2 linked regions of the Tribolium castaneum genome follow. The main gene of each other region encodes a partner of the protein of the gene in region 2 in a complex. Links are inferred from orthologs where the notes say so. Each region holds a gene or a part of one and is shown on either strand. Other genes may lie near its edges. The genes, in order: Lis-1 and BicD.

Region 1 (13,609 bases), on a different chromosome or scaffold from region 2:
TATAATATTTAAGGGAGTTGTCCTTGCGAATCGTAGGCGGCGTTGCTGAAAATCAATACAGATCGGGACGTCACTGCGTAGTTACGGACGCTACCGTCTTTTTTTTTTTTTTTTCATTGCCAAGGTGACGTTTGTTTACGAGGGTGTTAAAATAGCCGCCGCCTCGGATATTTTTGATAATTGCAGCGTAATGAACTTGGGGGATTACATACTTGTCTGGCGGATGTCTTAAAATATCTCGAGAGGGGCAAAAAATTAATTAACGACGGGAACTGTTTTTGTTAATTAACTCTACGAGTTGTTTATTGTTCTAATTGACTAAAATTGGTTAAGGATTGAAAGTTAAAAGTGAAAGGTTGTTAGAACTGACAGATGATGATTTAATTATTAGTGCTAATTTTTTTGGAGGCGACAGTGGGTCACCGATAAAAATATAATTGGAAAACATTGTCATTGATAAAATACGTTGATACATATTTCGCTTTAAAATATCAATAAATAATCGTCGAGGTCAGTTCGCGTGACCACAGAGAGGATTTCACTTTTTAAACAGGTGTTGAATAATAAAAAAACTATTTGTTTGAATAGAGTAAAAAATAATTGATAATTTTGTAATTGACTTGGGAAACATTTTATTGCACAGTTTTGCAGTTTTACGTAAAAACGACTCAAGAACTTCCGAGTAAATCGAGGATAGTAAGTTCCTGTTACTTCCGGTAATTACAAATATGGGAAGAAAACTGAAGTTACAAGAACATTACACGATTCTAGGCCTCGTCTTGTTTATTTATTTACCAGTGAAGGTTTTGTTTTATTTGTTTTTCCATACATCTAAATATTTTATGTGGCTTGTAAACAGTTTTTGAATAATTAGATTTTTCTGTCCAGAAAAAAATTAATAAAATTAAAAAATCCTCTAATTCCCAAAAATTTCGAAATCCTTAATCCTTGAAAACTATCCGGGACTTGTCTACTATTGCTTTTCTTCAATAATTTCTTATTTTTAAATTTAAAAAAGAAAACATAAATTTTTATACTTTGTCTTCTTGTATATAATTGAAAATTTTGGGGATTTTCCAGAAAAATCGGGTCGTAGCTCCATAATTTTAATTGCAAATGTCTTATGTTCAAAAATTGTCTTTGGAATTTTTAAATTTTAACCGATATTTGGACAAATCTACATCCTTTAGATTTTTTAAATAAAGTTTTAAAAAATAGATAAAAAAATAGTCACAAATTTTGAGAACCACTGAACTGGTATAGAAAACCGCTGAAAAAAACTAGCTTGTATTTTTAATTAAAAAACGGCAGACGTAAATTAACTTTTTGGTTCACTCCACATGTCATTTTGTGTTTTCTTTATTAAATTTTATGAAAAAAACAAAAATGTGCCAAACCGGGATTCGAACCTCCTTCTCAGATAAATATGCTAACAACAAGTTTGAAACATTTTTCGTGTAATAATGTTTATTTAAAGGAAAACTTTTTTATAAAATAGTATGTATAGTATATAAAATTACAAAACCAACGAAAAATAAAAGTAAATTCTAAAATTAATTGATTTATTATTATTTTTTATTAATATCTGAACTTTGAATTTGTCTAATTTTTAAGCAAATAAAACTATTTTTTTGGGTGTATTTTTTTCAAAAATTCAAGTTTTTGGAATTTTTTGAAATTATCGGTTATTAAAATAATTTCTGTATGTTATAGTTTTTTGTCTTAATTTGTAGAAATCGATTTATTAATTTTTTTTTATTAATTTGTCGCAAAATCAGGTCTCGGAATTTGCTGAGTTTGCTTTTGTTTCTTTAATGACTCTCTTTATTGATTTTAAGCAAAACCTTGAATTCGTTTGTTATTTTTACGTCGTTTGACCGTGAGCTATTGATTCATGTAAATTTTCTTTTATTAATAAAATACTCGTCTCGTCCATATAATAAGACCCCCTTACATCACCCACATTTGTGTTTATTTTATTACATCACTTGTGATTTTTGCAGTAACAAAGCCATCGCTGATTACCTCAGTAGCAACGGTTACATGAACGCACTAGAAGCGTTCAAAAAAGAAACGGACATGCCCGGCGAACTCGAGCGCAAATTCGGCGGTCTTCTCGAAAAAAAATGGACATCTGTGATACGTCTCCAGAAGAAAGTGATGGAACTCGAATCGAAACTCCACGAAGCCGAAAAGGAATACATCGAGGGGGCACCAACTCGCGGCAAACGCAGTCCAGCCGAATGGATCCCCAGACCCCCTGAGAAATACGCCCTGACGGGGCACCGAGCCCCCGTCACACGTGTCATATTCCATCCGTTGTTTAGTCTCTTTGTATCGACAAGTGAAGATGCTACGATTAAAGTCTGGGATTTTGAGACAGGGGAATACGAGAGGACCCTCAAAGGCCACTCGGATGCCGTTCAAGACGTCGCTTTCGACGCCACAGGAAAACTGCTAGTTTCCTGTAGCGCCGATATGTCGATTAAATTATGGGATTTCCAACAGAGTTACGAATGCATCCGAACGATGCTCGGGCATGATCACAATATATCATCGGTGGCGTTCATGCCAGCGGGGGATTTTGTCGTTTCGTCAAGTCGCGATAAAACCATCAAAATGTGGGAGGTTTCGACCGGTTATTGTGTCAAAACCTTTACAGGACACAAGGATTGGGTCAGAGTTGTGCGGCCATCGCCCGATGGTCAACTCTTGGCCAGTTGTTCCAACGATCAGACCATCAGAATATGGCAGGTTTATACGAAGGAATGTCGAGCTGAGTTGAGAGCACACGAACACGTTGTCGAATTCGTAGCATGGGCACCTGATTCGGCTGCGAATGCCATCAATGAAGCGGCAGGAGTCGATAATAAGAAGGGGGCACATATGGGACCGTTTCTGGCGTCGTGTTCCAGGGATAAGACGATCAGGTGAGAGGGGGCCGCGTTTTACGCCTAAACTAGACGGCCGAAAATTTTGATAAAATCACAGCTAAGACAAAAGGGCGTGGGGCACGTCGTGGCCAAATTTGAACAAAATCGAACGAGCGGTTTCCGAGATATTGACACTTGTAGCTGGGAGGGGGGGTCAGCTGTAACACCAAAACTGGGCGTTCAAAAAATTTGGAAAAATCACAGTAGGGGCAAGGAGGGCTGAGCTACGCTTGGTGCAAATTTGGAGGAAATCAAATCATCGGTTTGCGAAATACTGGGGGTTGAATTTGAGGAGATTGGTCACGTGTAACATTGAAACTCTACGTTCAAAAAATTTGGAAAAATTACAGTAGAGGGCAAAGGGGCTGAGCTATATCTAGTACAAATTTGGACGAAATCGAACGATCGGTTTGCGAAATATCGGGGGTTGAGCCTGGGAGGGGGGCCGCTTGTAACACCGAGACTGGGCGTTCAAAACATTTGGAAAAATCACAGTAGGGGCAAAGGGGGCTGAGCTACGCTTGGTGCAAATTTGGAGGAAATCAAATCATCGGTTTGCGAAATACTGGGGGTTGAATTTGAGGAGATTGGTCACGTGTAACATTGAAACTCTACGTTCAAAAAATTTGGAAAAATTACAGTAGGGGGCAAAGGGGCTGAGCTACGCTTGGTGCAAATTTGGAGGAAATCAAATCATCGGTTTGCGAAATACTGGGGGTTGAATTTGAGGAGATTGGTCACGTGTAACATTGAAACTGTACGTTCAAAAAATTTGGAAAAATTACAGTAGGGGGCAAAGGGGCTGAGCTATATCTAGTACAAATTTGGACGAAATCGAACGATCGGTTTGCGAAATATCGGGGGTTGAGCCTGGGAAGGGGGCCGCTTGTAACACCGAGACTGGGCGTTCAAAACATTTGGAAAAATCACAGTAGGGGCAAAGGGGGCTGAGCTACGCTTGGTGCAAATTTGGACGAAATCAAACCACCGGTTTGCGAAATACTGGGGGTTGAATTTGAGGAGATTGGTCACGTGTAACATTGAAACTCTACGTTCAAAAAATTTGGAAAAATTACAGTAGAGGGCAAAGGGGCTGAGCTATATCTAGTACAAATTTGGACGAAATCGAACGATCGGTTTGCGAAATATCGGGGGTTGAGCCTGGGAGGGGGGCCGCTTGTAACACCGAGACTGGGCGTTCAAAACATTTGGAAAAATCACAGTAGGGGCAAAGGGGGCTGAGCTACGCTTGGTGCAAATTTGGCGGAAATCAAATCATCGGTTTGCGAAATACTGGGGGTTGAATTTGAGGAGATTGGTCACGTGTAACATTGAAACTCTACGTTCAAAAAATTTGGAAAAATTACAGTAGGGGGCAAGGGGGCTGAGCTACGCTTGGTGCAAATTTGGAGGAAATCAAATCATCGGTTTGCGAAATACTGGGGGTTGAATTTGAGGAGATTGGTCACGTGTAACATTGAAACTGTACGTTCAAAAAATTTGGAAAAATTACAGTAGGGGGCAAAGGGGCTGAGCTATATCTAGTACAAATTTGGACGAAATCGAACGATCGGTTTGCGAAATATCGGGGGTTGAGCCTGGGAAGGGGGCCGCTTGTAACACCGAGACTGGGCGTTCAAAACATTTGGAAAAATCACAGTAGGGGCAAAGGGGGCTGAGCTACGCTTGGTGCAAATTTGGACGAAATCAAACCACCGGTTTGCGAAATATTGGGGGTTGAATTTGAGTAGATTGGTCACGTGTAACATTGAAGCTCTACGTTCAAAAAATTCGGAAAAATTACAGTAGGGGGCAAAGGGGCTGAGCTATATCTAGTGCAAATTTGGACGAAATCGAACGATCGGTTTGCGAAATATCGGGGGTTGAGGCTGGGAGGGGGGCCGCTTGTAACACTGAGACTGGGCGTTCAAAAAATTTGGAAAAATCACAGTGGGGAGTAGGGGGGTTGAGCTACGCTGTGTGTAAGTTAGGGCGGAATTGTATGTTGGGGAACTTTGTTTTGTAGGATATGGGATGTGGGCGCCGGCGTGGCTCTCTTCGTGCTGATTGGCCACGACAATTGGGTGCGAGGGGCAGTTTTCCATCCGGGTGGTAAATTTTTAGTGTCGGTTAGTGACGACAAAACGTTGAGAGTTTGGGATTTGCGAAATAAGCGCTGTTTAAAGACGTTAGATGCTCACAAACACTTTTGTACGTCTGTAGGTAAGTTGGTTGAGGTTTTGTTGCAGGGTTTGTTCTGATTGGTGGTCGTTTCAGATTTCCACAAATCACATCCTTATGTGATTTCGGGGAGTGTAGATCTAACGGTGAAAGTGTGGGAATGCCGTTAAGTTATAGTAAAACTTTTTTTTCACGGTTGCAGTGTAATTTAATTATTTAAGCCAAAACATTTATTCCTTTACGAAAGGTTTTATTTAGTGCAAATTCAGTTATTAAACTATTTTTTTGTGATTTGTTTTGTTTCATTAAAATTGGATTTGAGGTCTGGAATTTTTTTTCTTTTAAGTGTGAGTGACTTGTAGTTTCCGTTTAGAACAAAGTTTATTTTTGTTATATTACGATCGGTTTTTTTGTGATATATTTTTATTAGAAACTGCAAGTTAGTTATTCTTAATAAATGCTTCAGATATTTAATAAACAGGCAGTGGATATTGATGAAGTTATTATTGACACGTCTCGGTATTTTCTTGTTGTTTATTATTTTCGTTTGTTTCAAATGTATCGTGATGTGTTGGAAATGAATTCATGAAAAATTGTAGAGCTTTTTCAGTTCAGTTATTAGACACTATTTATAGGGGAAGAAATTAATATCATGTTGGTATTAATTTTTTGACATTTTAATGACAGTCGCAACTAGGTAACTATAATCCCTCTCAATGTAGATCTTGAAAATGTATATTGCACAAGTCCCGCTTAATCAGTGAAAATTATGTATTTTTTTTAATACTCATTTCATGTTTAACAAATTGATTTCCAGTAATTGTTTTAATAAAAACATCCCAAAATCGCTTGCTTACGATGTATAGTGGCACAATGTTCGTATATAGCCTTACATTGTTTTTTCGAGTAGGATATGTGAATATTTTCTTCTGTATATAAAAATAAAATTGTCTCCTTACAAGTTGTTTTATTGCCATCCCAGTCAAGACAAAAAGATTTGAATTTGGCGCTAAGGCGTAAATGGCATGTGTTGACACTTGCGCACGCGCTACTGGTTTTCAACAGCTGATTGTAAGCAAAAATTGTTTATTTTGCAAAATTACAATTTCTGAAGTTTTTGAAATATTGTGCGACCAACTGTTTACTGCATGATGCACATCGAGGACGAATTGATGGAAGAATCAGTTGATTTAATCAAAGAAGAACTAAAAACGGAACAAGAGCCGTACAAGTAAAAAACACCCTTTATTTAGTTATTTATAAAAAAAAATTGTTACAGCAAACTTTCATTAAATCCGTTAAAAATTAGCTCTATGAAGATGAAAATACGTGAAAAATTAGTCGTGCCGTGGTAATTATAACCATTTCATTTTATTTATTGATTGTTACGAAAGTTTGGTTAGTCTTTTTGACAGTATCGGGTCACGTGACCCATTTTTGACCAATCATGTGTCGTTTTAATGGCGCCAAATTTACAATATTTTAGTGAGCCCAAACCTTTAAGTCCCGTTAAGAAAATTAAAATGTTGAGGAAAAAACCAAAACCGATAAATTTCACAATTAGGAATGAAACGGAAACCAAAAGTGAAAATTTAGTCCAGCCCAAAGTGCAAACAATTAGTCAGACGTTAACTAATAACGGAAAATGTGTTTCCACTGGTGAAAATTTGACTGAAATCACAAGAAACACGAAAAAGTAGGTGTCTTCTGTGTTTTTCTTTCCTGATAATTTGTTTTAGTGAGCCAAAGACTGTTAGCCGTGCCCGCAATTTTAGGTATTTCTCTCCTGAAAAAAAATCCGGTTGTGATTAATGGTTTTCAGGCCGCGGAATGCAGCAATTCAGTTTAAGGAACAGCACCTGAAAAACCCCAGTGCCGCGAGACAAATGTGGCGAGTCGCCACTGCAGTGATAGAACAACAAAAAAAAGTTATAGCAAATTTGGAAAGTAAAAACGAGAGGCTTTGCAAGAGAAATAAACTGCTAGAAGCCGCGCTTGACGACATACAGAACTCGGCAAACACGCCCGGAAATTGCTACATTTTGCTCAAAGTAATTTTTTTAATTTATTCAATTTTTTGCTAATTTGTGCGATTCCAGAAACCGGGCGAATATTTCATCAAATGGGGTTAGATTGGATTCGTTGGAAAAGTTTTGTGGTTAATAAAGCAATTAAAACCTTTTTTGTGTTTTATTCAACCTATGATTCAAAATGACAAGCTCAGAAACAACTAAAATTTGGCTTCTTGGGTATTCCAAAGTCACAGAAAACAATTTTATCGCTAGAAACTGTGTGTGTTGTAATTAAAAGTGATTTAATAAATAATTTTACAATAAAATGCAGTTTGAATTTCGTCCTGTTAAGTTCAGCCAACCTGACCATTCAAAACCAGTCACGAATTTAAATGTTAGACGCACTAAACGAACGAATTATTTATTCACCTGTTACGAATTTATTCATTACCTGACGAGACATGCGGCTACTTAACGCCCCTTTTATTTTCTCTTTACAACAGTTTGAGTGTTGATTGATGAGGTTGGCGCCTCTGGTTGTCAGTCACCAAAATAACAAACGTCAAATTTTAATGTTTTTTAAGGCGTAAAAGCGCAACAAAAAGTGATGGCTTTAAGTAATATCGTATTGCTTAGCCAAATCGCCGGTTATGTGATAGCTTTTATCTTATCGTTATGCATAGTTGTTCCTATGAGTTTGCACCAGGATGAATTCAGGTTAGTGGCTCCTTTGTTGCCAAAACTACAATATCTCGTTCCAGGGGTCATTGCTTGTTGTTTTCGACCGGCGTGTGGCAGGAGGCCGACGGCCAGTTGAAAGTCGACTGGGCTTCGCAGTGCTACTGCAACTACACGATTTTTGTAGGCGTGTTGTTATGTTTAGTCTCAATCGTGCAAATCTATCGGTAGGCGAAGCCCCAAGTCTTCAACCAGCTCACTAATATCTTTCCAGCTTGTCGCTGTTCTTGTACAAAGGCACCGATAGCAGTTTTTTGTCCGCGTTCTTTGACGTCCTCACAGGCATTATTTTGTGCGGCATGACCATAATCGCAGCTTTGATGATTACTTTGGGGTTCATGGTGTGGTGCCAGAACATGACCCAACGATTCCCCTCGTAAGCCGAACACATCGTGCTTAGGAGCCACTAATCGCTCGTTTCAGGTGCGAATTAGCAGCTGGTCAAGCGATTGATAAACAGGACGGTATTAACACCACCAATTTTTACATCGAGTTGGGGACTGCACAGTTTGGCGTTTGGGGCTCCTTTGCCACGTGGGTGGGGCTGTCCGTGTTCGCACTTTTGAAGCTGTGCCGCTACCACCAGTTGGAAAATATCAGAGTGTCAATGTACAGAGAACGGCAGAGACTGATCAACGAAAACTCAGAGTCGCCTGGAAGCTCGCTAGGTCGTGAGTCCACACACAGTCAAGACACCACGGCCACAGCCGCCGAGTGATTAGTTTCCGGCGTCTTGAGGTGTCCTTATTTTATAATTTACGCAATAATTCACATCTCACTTCTCATACATAACACTGTGTACCAAATAGTCGGTTTTAATTGAGTATATTGTGATAATATAATAGAGATTAGCGGCTTTTTCAAGTTGATTTTATAAGAATAAATCATTTTATTGGAAGAAACATTTTATTAAAGATTATGTACATATCGTTAACAAACAAAATTGATTTACTGTGTCACTTAAGCACCTGTTACATGGTACGTTATAAATAAAACTCTGAACATCATAATAAATAATAGGAACGATCAAATAACCGAAACTGTGATTAAGTATAACCCGGAGCATTGATTTGGAATATAAAGTTACAATGATTAAGTCAAAAGAACGAGCTTTGTTATCATCCCAAAGCTATTGCTACGAATGAGGTATGAAAAAATTTCGTTAAAAATGTATATTTTGGCCCTAATTATTTCTCCGTCAGAGACAATTGTAGTATTTCCTCAAGGATTTTTTCCTCTTGCAATCTTTGCTCTTCCTGCTTTCGGCGTTCCTGCTCTGACAGCATGAGAGCCATGTGCAGGTCCGAATCTATGTCAGGATCAGCGGCCGCGTTAGTCTCACTGCTATCTGTACTCTTTTGATAAAGCTCTAAACTGGCCTGAATAGCTCTACAACAAAGTGTCTTACTTGCAGCTAGTTAAGCAAAAAGCGGAGATAATTGATTAAACCACTAAACAATTTTTTGACAATTTTGTTATTAATAAGTACCTTTGCAACTGCCTTTCCTCCTCACCTACGAGGTTTGGAGTCGCAGGTCGCGACGGTTTCTGGGCTTTCAAGGCCTCCCAAATGTCCACCTGTAACTGAGTTAACAAAACGACAAACAATTCGTAAAATCACCTCTTCCTTTTCCGTCCCGGCATCAATTAAACTCTGCTGAATTGCAAATTGTAACAAATCGTCTTCCTCTTCCATACTGAACTGTCTGCGGCCGTCGGACGCAGCTGGAATTTTTCCGAAATTAGTGTCGAATCATTTAAAATTGAAATGATGATATGAAGCGAGTAAAATCAAACGAAATAAAAAAAAAACAAAATAATGACCCGTGCATTACCATTACCAATCTGAGAATATCCTGAGGGACATTGGAAAATACACTCGTCTAAAACACACGTTAATCTGTCCTCTTCCTGTATCCGGTGGACGTGCGCCACTTCCGCGTCTATACCGAAAATGTTGCCGAATGTTATCCTCGCGTTTAGCACGTGAAAGAGGGGGATTTCTGCAACGAAAAGCAAAAAAATCAGATTTTTTTAACAAAAGTAATCTTACCGATTTTGACGGGGAAACCCGACGGCAGCTGCATCTGTATAAAGTCCTTCAATTTGGCGAAATGCGAGCTAGAAATGGCCATTAGATCGACAATTGGAAGAATCTGTTCGGGCAGCGATAGGGGGTATTGCTCACACAGCCATAAATTCGCTTTGAATTTCTGCACTTTAACGCTAATTTCTTTAGGTCGGCCAATGTCTCGATTTTGTAAATTCACCGCCGAGTCGAAATACTCCTCGGGTGTTATATTACACGGATTACTGGACTTTGTGTATTCGTTTTGAAGGGCTGCGGCTGCTTGATTCTCTTCAACTTCCGCAATGCCTAGAAAATTCTGTAGTGGTGTTTTATTATTTCTACTTCGGGCTTTATCGCTTTCGGTTAAATGTTCGGTTCGTGTTTTCGTCACCAGTTCCACGTTCGACGCACTGAAGACTTTACACTCGTGCCCGTTCACCGCTTCACTTTTATCAGATCTCCAGCCCCACATGCCCGCTTTATTCCTGCATCGTACAATTATTAAAGAAATTAAATAGAGATTTTAAGTTGCCTCTCGAAACTGATCTTGTCCGTGTCCACGTATGTCGTGACTATGGGGGTTGTCAGTCTTTGAGAGACCGATTCTTCGGTTGGGATTAAAACGCCAAGAGCCTCGTCAGGCGCCTTCATCTCCTCACAATAGACCTGTTGGATGTCATGGTCGATTTCCATCATTGTTGCCCCATCACCTAATTATTACAATTATCATCAAAGCGAGCTGCATACACTATTTTTTCTACGATCCAGCGGTCATTATAATTTTTTTTTCTGACTAGTTACAAACTTGTATATAATCAACAACTGCTACCTCAAGCTTGCTACGAGTTACCCGTTCCGTTCAGCTTATAAACATAGCTCCGTTGGCCCCGTATTGGCGAGCACATTTGTAAGACTGTCCAATTTAGTTAACGCAGACCGAACTAATTAATTACTCACTGTGGCCTTGGAACACGTAGCTTCTGTTGCCCCTCTGCCAGCTCGTGTGGTCAAAGCCTAGCAAAGTGGTGTCTATCCGGACATTAGAGCCTTGTTTGAAGACTTTGTAAGTGTCGCTGGGGCACATTCGTGAGACCAGAGGCACTGGAAAAATTCCACTCTAAACGTGTTAGTGTTTTTGGGTTTGTTACCCCAACTAGTGAACTCCCACTTCATTTCCACGTAAAAATCTGGCGCTTCTTTGAGTTTCTGGAGCAGTTCTGGAATGCCAGCCATGCGGTTCGAATATCGTTGAAAATCGCGCCGTTCTAAAACCATATGTAACAGTTCCGGGTCACCCGTGGCCACTGCCTCTTGTACAACTGCAAAAAAACCGTGTCGGAAATTCGGGAAGGCTTATCTTAATCCGATTACCAGTCCAGCCATCTGCATTTTCACAGTTTACGTTGGCTTCGTTATTCAATAACGAACGAGCTGACTCTAAATGGCCCAAGGTGACGGCTAGCATTAGCGGGGTTCGCCCTCGATTGTCCAACTTTTCTTTATCGTCCTGCAGTGGCATTCAAGTCTAGCTAACGCACCAAATAAAGCAATTCGTTACCTCTTTCTTTTTCAGTAAAATATCCAACTGTTTATAGTCGTTCTGCCACACCAACCAGTGTAAAGGGTATTCTTTTTGGATGAAGTCGATTTCGACCATTTTTTCAAGTGTTTTAGCACCGAGTACGTTTTATATTGACGGAAACATGGTCACACTTTGCTGTTTACAAGCGATGACGACGAAATTAACACTTTAATTTTTGAAATGACAGATGTGCTATCTACCAGACGCCATATTTGATTGATGAGTCAGAAACGTCAAAATACGCTAAAGGAGCATTCACACGGACAGCCGTGCCGGGTTCACACGGCTAGTCCAGGCTTCACCTTTTCAAAATAAAATGTTACCAATGAAACACGTCTCGTTCTAATAAATATTTATTCAAATAACATATAAAATAACATAAATCCAATATAAATATGGAAAAACGTGAAATTAAATTAAGTCTTTGGTAGGTAAAACATCAACTATAGCGCGTCTAATTGATTGAAGTTAATACTGCTGCTTAAGCGTTGCCTTTGAGTTTCTCTTGCATCTGGTTCAGCATTTCTTGCATTCGCCGGATCTGCAATAATGAACAGTTTATTAAAAAAAATTGATTACAAATGTGATGATTACTTCTTGGTCCTTTTGGAGCAGCAACCGGTCGGTTTCTGAGCAATCCGAGTCGTAGGGGGCTGAGTCCCTCTTCAACTTCCCCCTTTCCCGGGCGTGTTGCGAAATTTGCGAGATACATTGTGCTCGGAAATTCTCATAGTGAACATCTTCGGTGACATCTTTGAGATCTTGCATGTGCGTGGAGATTAGCATCGTTCTTAACTTAATAAAATCGCTGTGTTTCGGGTTTTCGACTAAAATTTTTTTTTGGTAAATTCAATGGTTTATTTTTTTGGTGTTTTTTTACCATCGACCACTCCCCATGGATATTGGCGCCCCCTGACTTTCCTACCAGCCACTTCTAAAATCGTGTTACTGCCAACAACAGCAAAGGGAACACTCGCTTTCAGTTCCCGGTCTTGTTGCTTGAATTCTTCGTCTTCGTCGCTGTCGCATTCGGGGAATTCGTACATCTGTAATTTCGCGAAAAATATTGTTTTTTCAGTAACAGATAAGATGCTATCAAATTGGGGTGATGGCGAACTTATCAACTTAAGCAAATATGCTCAAAAAGTAAAATCAACTGAAACTAACGTTTTATTCTTGCAAAACAAAAGTTGTGCTCATTTTTTTTCGCCGAGACTATTTTTTGAATTCAGAAAATCCTGTATTAACAGCACAGTTTACCCAAAACACGCACAAATATGTAAATAAAAGGTGAATAAACAGTAGTTTTTTCGTACGGTTACCTGAATTTCGTGCTCTCTAATATCGTTGATAATATTCTGCTTGAGCTTGGCGATCTCTGAGCTGGTGAGGCAGTCGGCCTTGGCGATGACCACCACGATATTGACTTTCTGGTGCAGCCGCTTCATCAGCTCCAGGTCCATCTGCCTCAGACTGTGTCCCCAAGGCGGGACAAAGTAGAGACAGCAATGGACCCGATTATCCTGGATATTCCGCCTATTTAGCCCGCTTTCGTCGGTGAAGTATTGTCTGAATTGATCGTCAATGTAGTTTGTGCACACTTTCCAGCTGTCTTCACAGTTAACAGCGTCTCCGAAGCCAGGTGTGTCGATTACGGTCAGGCGGAGTTTCACTCCGCGTTCCTCGATTTCCATCGTTTTTTTCTCGATGGAAGTCGTTTTCTGGATGCGTTCGCTGACATCGGGGATTTTGCGATTTTTGTAGAGGTCATCCAGGAACAGACTGTTAATCAGAGTGGATTTGCCCAAGCCAGACTCGCCCACCACCATAAGGGTGAAGTCGAAACCGCGCTTCACCGACTTGCGGTGGACTTGGTCCGGCAGGGTGGCAAAGCCGATGTAGTCGCGGTCGCTCCTATCTAGATAAAATAACAATTACATAAAAATGAATTCAAACAAGTTAGTTAATTAAAACATCCTGTGTTCGTGACGCAATGGAGTGTTACACTCGAAAGTAAAAGTTTTTGGAAATTGCAGATTCTGAAAGTAGACACAAAATGATGTCTAGTAATATCGGTCCGAGTTTTTTTAAA
Region 2 (5,643 bases):
TTGTGTTCTCAGTTTTGTTTTTATACTTTCTAATAAAATCTTCATTACTACCACTTCCAGTTTTATTATTGTGGAACTATTGCTGTTTATGAAGTGTGTGTATCAATAGATAAATAGCAAACTTATGTAATGTATATTGTAAATATGTTAGTCATTTTGCACAATAGTTTGTACATCTATTATGTAAATACGCAGAATGACAAATTTGCGAAAGACACTTCAATCGTAAAGTAGCTCTTCCAACTTCACAGTAAATTATTACTCTCTGTTTCTCTACTAGGAGGTATCATATCATTTCACGTGACTTATTTATATTTACTCATGTCTGTTTCATGTTTACATTTTCTTTTGTATGCTGTTTAATAAAAAATATTAAAATTCACGCAAACGTACTGTAATAAGAGGAACTATATTTTTTGTGATTTCTTTGAAAATATAGAATAAATATATCTTTTCTACGCATGTTTTTTTGTACATTCCCATGGGTGCAATAACGGTCCTTGTGATAAAGTAATAATTATATTAAAAATATTAGGTACAATTAAGTAACATTAACCACATATAAGCAATGTTAAAATAATTTATAACAATAAATATCAAAAAGAATATAACAGGTTAGCTGTCTGACGAACGAAACAAACAGAAGATCTAAGTTTCTGTTGGTACGTGTACCAAGTAACAAAAATATAAGTGTTAGAGCATGCACATTTCATTCTCAACATTAAGGATTTTTATATTATTGTAAGGGACGGGCATTTCCGTGGTCCATAGGCTCGGAAACAGGACAAATAATCAACAAACGTCATTTCATGATTATCATATGGACTCAGAACCAACGGAAAAGACGAATTGTGATATCATATTTACTATTAGAATGACGGCAATTCGCCGTCACTTCACAATATTATTCTTAGCCTACGTCTTAACAAGTTTTAACTATTTTTTATAAACCGTAACAATTAGATTTTAGTACCACAGTTAGAAAATAAATGTACGCAGTTTTTAATTTTTCTCGAGACGAAATGCCCTCGAGCGTAGCGCCACCGTGACCAGTCTCGAAGACTAGCGGTTTATCGAATATTATTTTAGTTCACACCACCAAAGAATGACTAACTAACGTATATTGCATGAATCCCTTGTAGGACTAAGTAGACTAAATAAATATGTTAATAACTAAAACATGGTTAAAGTCTATACATCACACGAAATATGGGTCACATCTACCAATAAATATATCATTTCATAATTAAATCCAAGTATAGGCTACTCTACCGTCATAATATTCCACTATTAATCAAGAGATATACCTTAGAAATGCTACTTGAACGTAATCTATAACTAAATCTGAATTACGAAACTTTTGGCAGCTAATTGGCCACTTTACTAAACCGAAAATTAGTACTAGCCAATACAAGTAGAATAAATTAGTCTGAGTATGCATAAAAAGTCGCCAAACCAAACACATAAATGCACAGTTTACCTCACATTTCGTTAAATAAACAATAAAATACTTGAATTTTTGTGAATTGTCACAATTCGTTACGTTATAGCCGATTAAAGTGTAGTGTTAGAAATTTCAAAGTTTAAAGAATGTGGTGATAAATGCAATCGCGTAAACCACAGGTTTCGACCTGCGCTAGAACATGTCTCTGTTCGACCGTCCAGGGCGCTGAAAATTGCGGTTGTTTGGCTTACGTGCGTTTCTGATTTCTCTGTCCACCTCCAGCTCTTCGAGCCGCTGAGTCAGACCCAGCTTTTGCTGAACGGCTAATCTCAACAGCTGGTTCAAAGTCTTCTTCTCTTCTTCGGCTGCGCTCAACTGCTGCTGGAGCTCGTCGACTTGCGTCACGTACTCTTCGCAACGGGCGGCAAACATCGCACGCAAACCTTTAATAATTTTCGTAAAATTTAAACTGAACCAAATCCACCTTACTTGAAAATGTGGCTGCGTCCTCCTTCAACATTCGCAACTCGTTTCGGAGCTTCATCATCGTCTCGGATACAATTGTTTTCTCGTTTTCGTACTTGGCTTTGAGGTTCGTCAGTGCCACTTCGGCAGTATTTTTGTTTGATTTTAGGACGGTTCGTAACGTGGCAATCTGTTCGCGTTTGGTCGACAGCAAACTCTTCAATCTTATGACTTGCTCTTGTAATTCGGCGATTTCTTCGCTGTTTTCATCTTTGCTTGCTAATAAAAAGTGTTACAAAATGACTGACTGTTTTTTTACCTAACTCACATTCATATAATCCATTCGATTTTTCCCTCTTTGTTTTCGATAATTCGATGGTATTTTCAATGGCGTTTCGGAGATGTTTGATTTGGTCCACGATGGTGCAAACATTTCGAGCGACAACAGCCGCGTCATTTAAGACTTCAAGATCGTGCAAGGGAATGTCGCTCTTGAGGCGGCTTCGCAACAATTCGATTTTGGACATTTCGCCAATTGGTGGCGCAGTTTCCGACACTGAAAATCAGAAATTTAAACCGTGACCTGGCCTCGACATTTTAATTACATAAAAAGGCCGAATTTAAATAAAAATGAGACAAAAAATTGAAGTCCGATAAAACATTAAATTCGTGAATGAAAGCATCTGCTTACGTGATCAGTTAATCAGCAATTTAATTGCGGATTAAATTAATTCTTCTATAAGCCAATCCTTAATACAATAAATAAATAATGATTATTATTACAAAAATTCAACCAGATAAATATTTTAAAAACTACAAATTAGCAATTATTATTATTATTGGCTCTGAACTTTATTTTTCATAACAAAAAACGTGTAAAGAACACATATCTCATCTTTGACGCTTTTGATTTAAATTGCTTCTCCCCGATAACGAATCATCTTATGGTGGCCAAGACTTTTTTTAAAAAAGATTTTATTATTTTTATTTTCTAGTAATTGTATTTTTAACTCTACTAGTTTATCATTTTTTTCTCATGTTTTCCATGGAAAATTTTAGTCGTTAGCTTTCTTTTTTTCCAAATAAATAGTGAACCGGCTGAATTAAATAACTGGTTGGATGAAATTACGCAGAGATAACTAAATGTATTCTATTTCGAACAAATTTTTCGAATTTGTGATTAAACATAATACGTAATCATAACGATAAAAGAATTATTTTTTATTTATTTCAATTAAACATAAATGTAACGAACTAAAGTGTAAAACGACTTTATAAAAGATAATTTTTTTAACATTATACTCGTAGAGAAGCTTAATAAGTGTAAAGGACAAAATTATAGAAAATTAAAATGCCTACAAACGGCTTATTTTAGCCGATTTATTGCTTAGAAGTAAGCAAACTTACACAAAACAGATTGAAAACGACATATTTTGACTTAAAATAGAAAGTTAAGTAATAGTTTGGATGAAAATGGTTTATTTCAAACGATTCTTTACTTAGAACGGAGAAAACTTCATAAAACACACTGAAAACGCCATATTCTAACTCAAAAGAACAAATTATGTTTTAATTTAGATGAAAACGGCTTATTTCGAAAGATTCTTTGCTTAGAAATGAGTCAACAGACTGAAAACGCCATATTCTGGCTCAAAAGAACGAGTTATGCTATAGTTTGGATGAAAACGCCATATAAGAGTTTATTGTATCGGAATTTTAGTCATCAGTTTTTTTCAGCTTATTATGAATTTGATTCTCCACAGCCTTCCCTTTTTTTTCAAGCAATTGATGAAAATAATAGTTGAATTTTAATTAATTTAAAACTGCTTGAAGTCTCGTTTCTCGTGTCTAATTTTTCGTAAGAAAAACGCACTTTTTGCAAGAATTATTATTACTGGTATACATAGAAAAAAAAACTCAACTTAATTTTCGGTCAAAGTTATCTCTCATAATTTAATTTTAAATAACAAGAGGTCAGGATTTAAGGGATTCAATTACTTTAAAACAATTTGGTGCCGAAACGAAATATTTTTGAGTACGAAAATTTTTAATACCGTTTCGCCTCTTAGTTTTATACAACTAAGCCACTTACTAGGCGTCATTCCTTCCTTCTCGTGATCCAAAACCACTCTCGTGGGCGTCTCCCCGTTAACAGTACACACATGATGGTACAACTGAGCAAGCTCATCAGTAACAGTTTGTAAATTATTCTGAGTTTCATCCAATGAAGTTCCAGCTTCACTAGCAAACTCTCTCAACAATTTCAAATCGGCCTCCAAGTCCATACTCCTCTGCTCCGTATCCGACAACTTATTTTTCAAATTCGTGATTTCGGTGCGCAGCTGTAGGGTAGCGTCTGAGATATTCGTCAACTTCTCCAATTCACGAATATCCTGCTTCAGCTGTTCGATCTCTTTACAGGACATTTTGAACCACTGCTGGTACTGATTTAGAATTTTACCAGCCTCTTGTGCCGGTTGGGATACATTTTTGTCAACATTCTGCGACAAATGCTGCAAAGAATCGACATGAGCCGCCAGTTGTGTCAGTCTTGCAATGAAAACTTGTAGTTCGCCTTGACTCTTCTCCACCATTGCCTGGTTATCGCGCAAATTTTGTGTCAGAGTTAGTTTTTCCTTCTCCAGTTGTTCCAACTGCTTTTCCAACTTTCTCAGTTCGTTCAAGTGGACTTCGGAGAACAAATCGACCTGTTTATCGTCAGGCGAAGCCAATTCTGAGGCACTTCCACTCCCCAAAGTCGCCTCCAGCCGCTTCAAGCCGGGAATATCGTCCTCACCGTCACTCCCCAAAGTCGGCTCATCGCTCATTCCCCGAATACTGTACGCCAGATTATTGATATTGTAGAACGTGTCTCGGTTAATATGTTGGTCCAGTTCCTTCTTCAGCGCGTATTTGGCCTCACGTTCGGCTTGCAGCGACTCCAAGGCCTCCTCCATGTGTTTCTCGGCGATTTTCTTCAAGTTTGTCAGCTCTTCCACCTGGAGGTTCAACAGTTCCATTTCTTCGTGCAGTCGCCGGATCTCGTGTTTTAGACTTTCAAACTCCACTTGCGAGCTTTTTAAAGCTGAGACTTGTTTTTGTAAGGCTATGTTCTCTTCTTCTAGCTCGGCGTAGTCGTTGATCAAACGATTTTCTCGAAATTTGATTTCGCGGAGTTCCGTTCGTAATTTCTTGCACTCCATGCTTCGATCTTCCTTGTCTTTGCCCATATCGGTGTTCTCCTGCAGCATGCGGTCTCGCTCGGTGGTGACGCGGTCCAACTCATGACGCAGCTGCTTTATTTCGTTTTCCAATTCGATTATTTGGGAATTGAGCGATGTTTCGCGCGCGGCGGATTCAGATAGCAGGGATTCTTCCGTTTCTATTCCAGTTTTAGTTGTTACTTTATGACTAGATTGGAACTTTGCCAAGGCCTATAAAACAAAAAGATAATAAATAAGTAACGCTTTCAATAATTTTAAAAGGAGCTTTCATCATGGGCTAATTTTAATCAGCTGAAGATAAGAATACAACGGTCGAAATATGAAAGCAATTTATGCAAAAATGTAGAAGTGTTTGCGAGACTGCTAACGCACGCTCCTACATAACAATTCAGTCACAGTAACTGAACCAAAACCAATTATAAAGTATGAATAAATAATAATAATGAGAACATCAACTGTGATACCACTCTAATTCCAATTTTTCACGGCTTAAAGGGTTAATGCGAATAA

What was found.
Region 1: BicD (region 2) and Lis-1 share a complex: the UniProt entries of both Caenorhabditis elegans proteins name them as parts of the dynein-regulating complex. The link is inferred for Tribolium castaneum from reciprocal best matches to the Caenorhabditis elegans genes bicd-1 and lis-1.

What each region holds. Positions count from the first base shown.
Region 1 is NC_087399.1:2,661,688-2,675,296, forward strand, and holds the end of Lis-1 (lissencephaly-1 homolog), read left to right. Parts: intron 1-2,003; coding exon 2,004-2,930; intron 2,931-4,959; coding exon 4,960-5,156; intron 5,157-5,210; coding exon 5,211-5,284; 3' UTR 5,285-6,345; intron 6,346-6,393; 3' UTR 6,394-6,465; intron 6,466-6,600; 3' UTR 6,601-6,810; intron 6,811-6,853; 3' UTR 6,854-6,889; intron 6,890-6,936; 3' UTR 6,937-7,165; intron 7,166-7,213; 3' UTR 7,214-7,295; downstream 7,296-13,609. Other genes in the region: transmembrane protein 179, read left to right, coding at 7,734-7,843, 7,888-8,031, 8,079-8,240, 8,288-8,582; ankyrin repeat domain-containing protein 13D, read right to left, coding at 9,052-9,253, 9,354-9,442, 9,486-9,589, 9,700-9,867, 9,918-10,420, 10,468-10,645, 10,893-11,036, 11,084-11,254 and 2 more; Septin4 (septin-2), read right to left, coding at 11,999-12,058, 12,112-12,344, 12,398-12,563, 12,840-13,435. UniProt on the Caenorhabditis elegans protein: Positively regulates the activity of the minus-end directed microtubule motor protein dynein. May enhance dynein-mediated microtubule sliding by targeting dynein to the microtubule plus end.
Region 2 is NC_087396.1:19,858,122-19,863,764, reverse strand, and holds the end of BicD (protein bicaudal D), read right to left. Parts: intron 5,344-5,643; coding exon 4,002-5,343; intron 2,466-4,001; coding exon 2,238-2,465; intron 2,189-2,237; coding exon 1,934-2,188; intron 1,888-1,933; coding exon 1,637-1,887; 3' UTR 501-1,636; downstream 1-500. UniProt on the Caenorhabditis elegans protein: Part of a complex with dlc-1 and egal-1, which is recruited to the nuclear envelope by unc-83, where in turn, it recruits dynein to the nuclear surface and regulates nuclear migration in hypodermal precursor cells.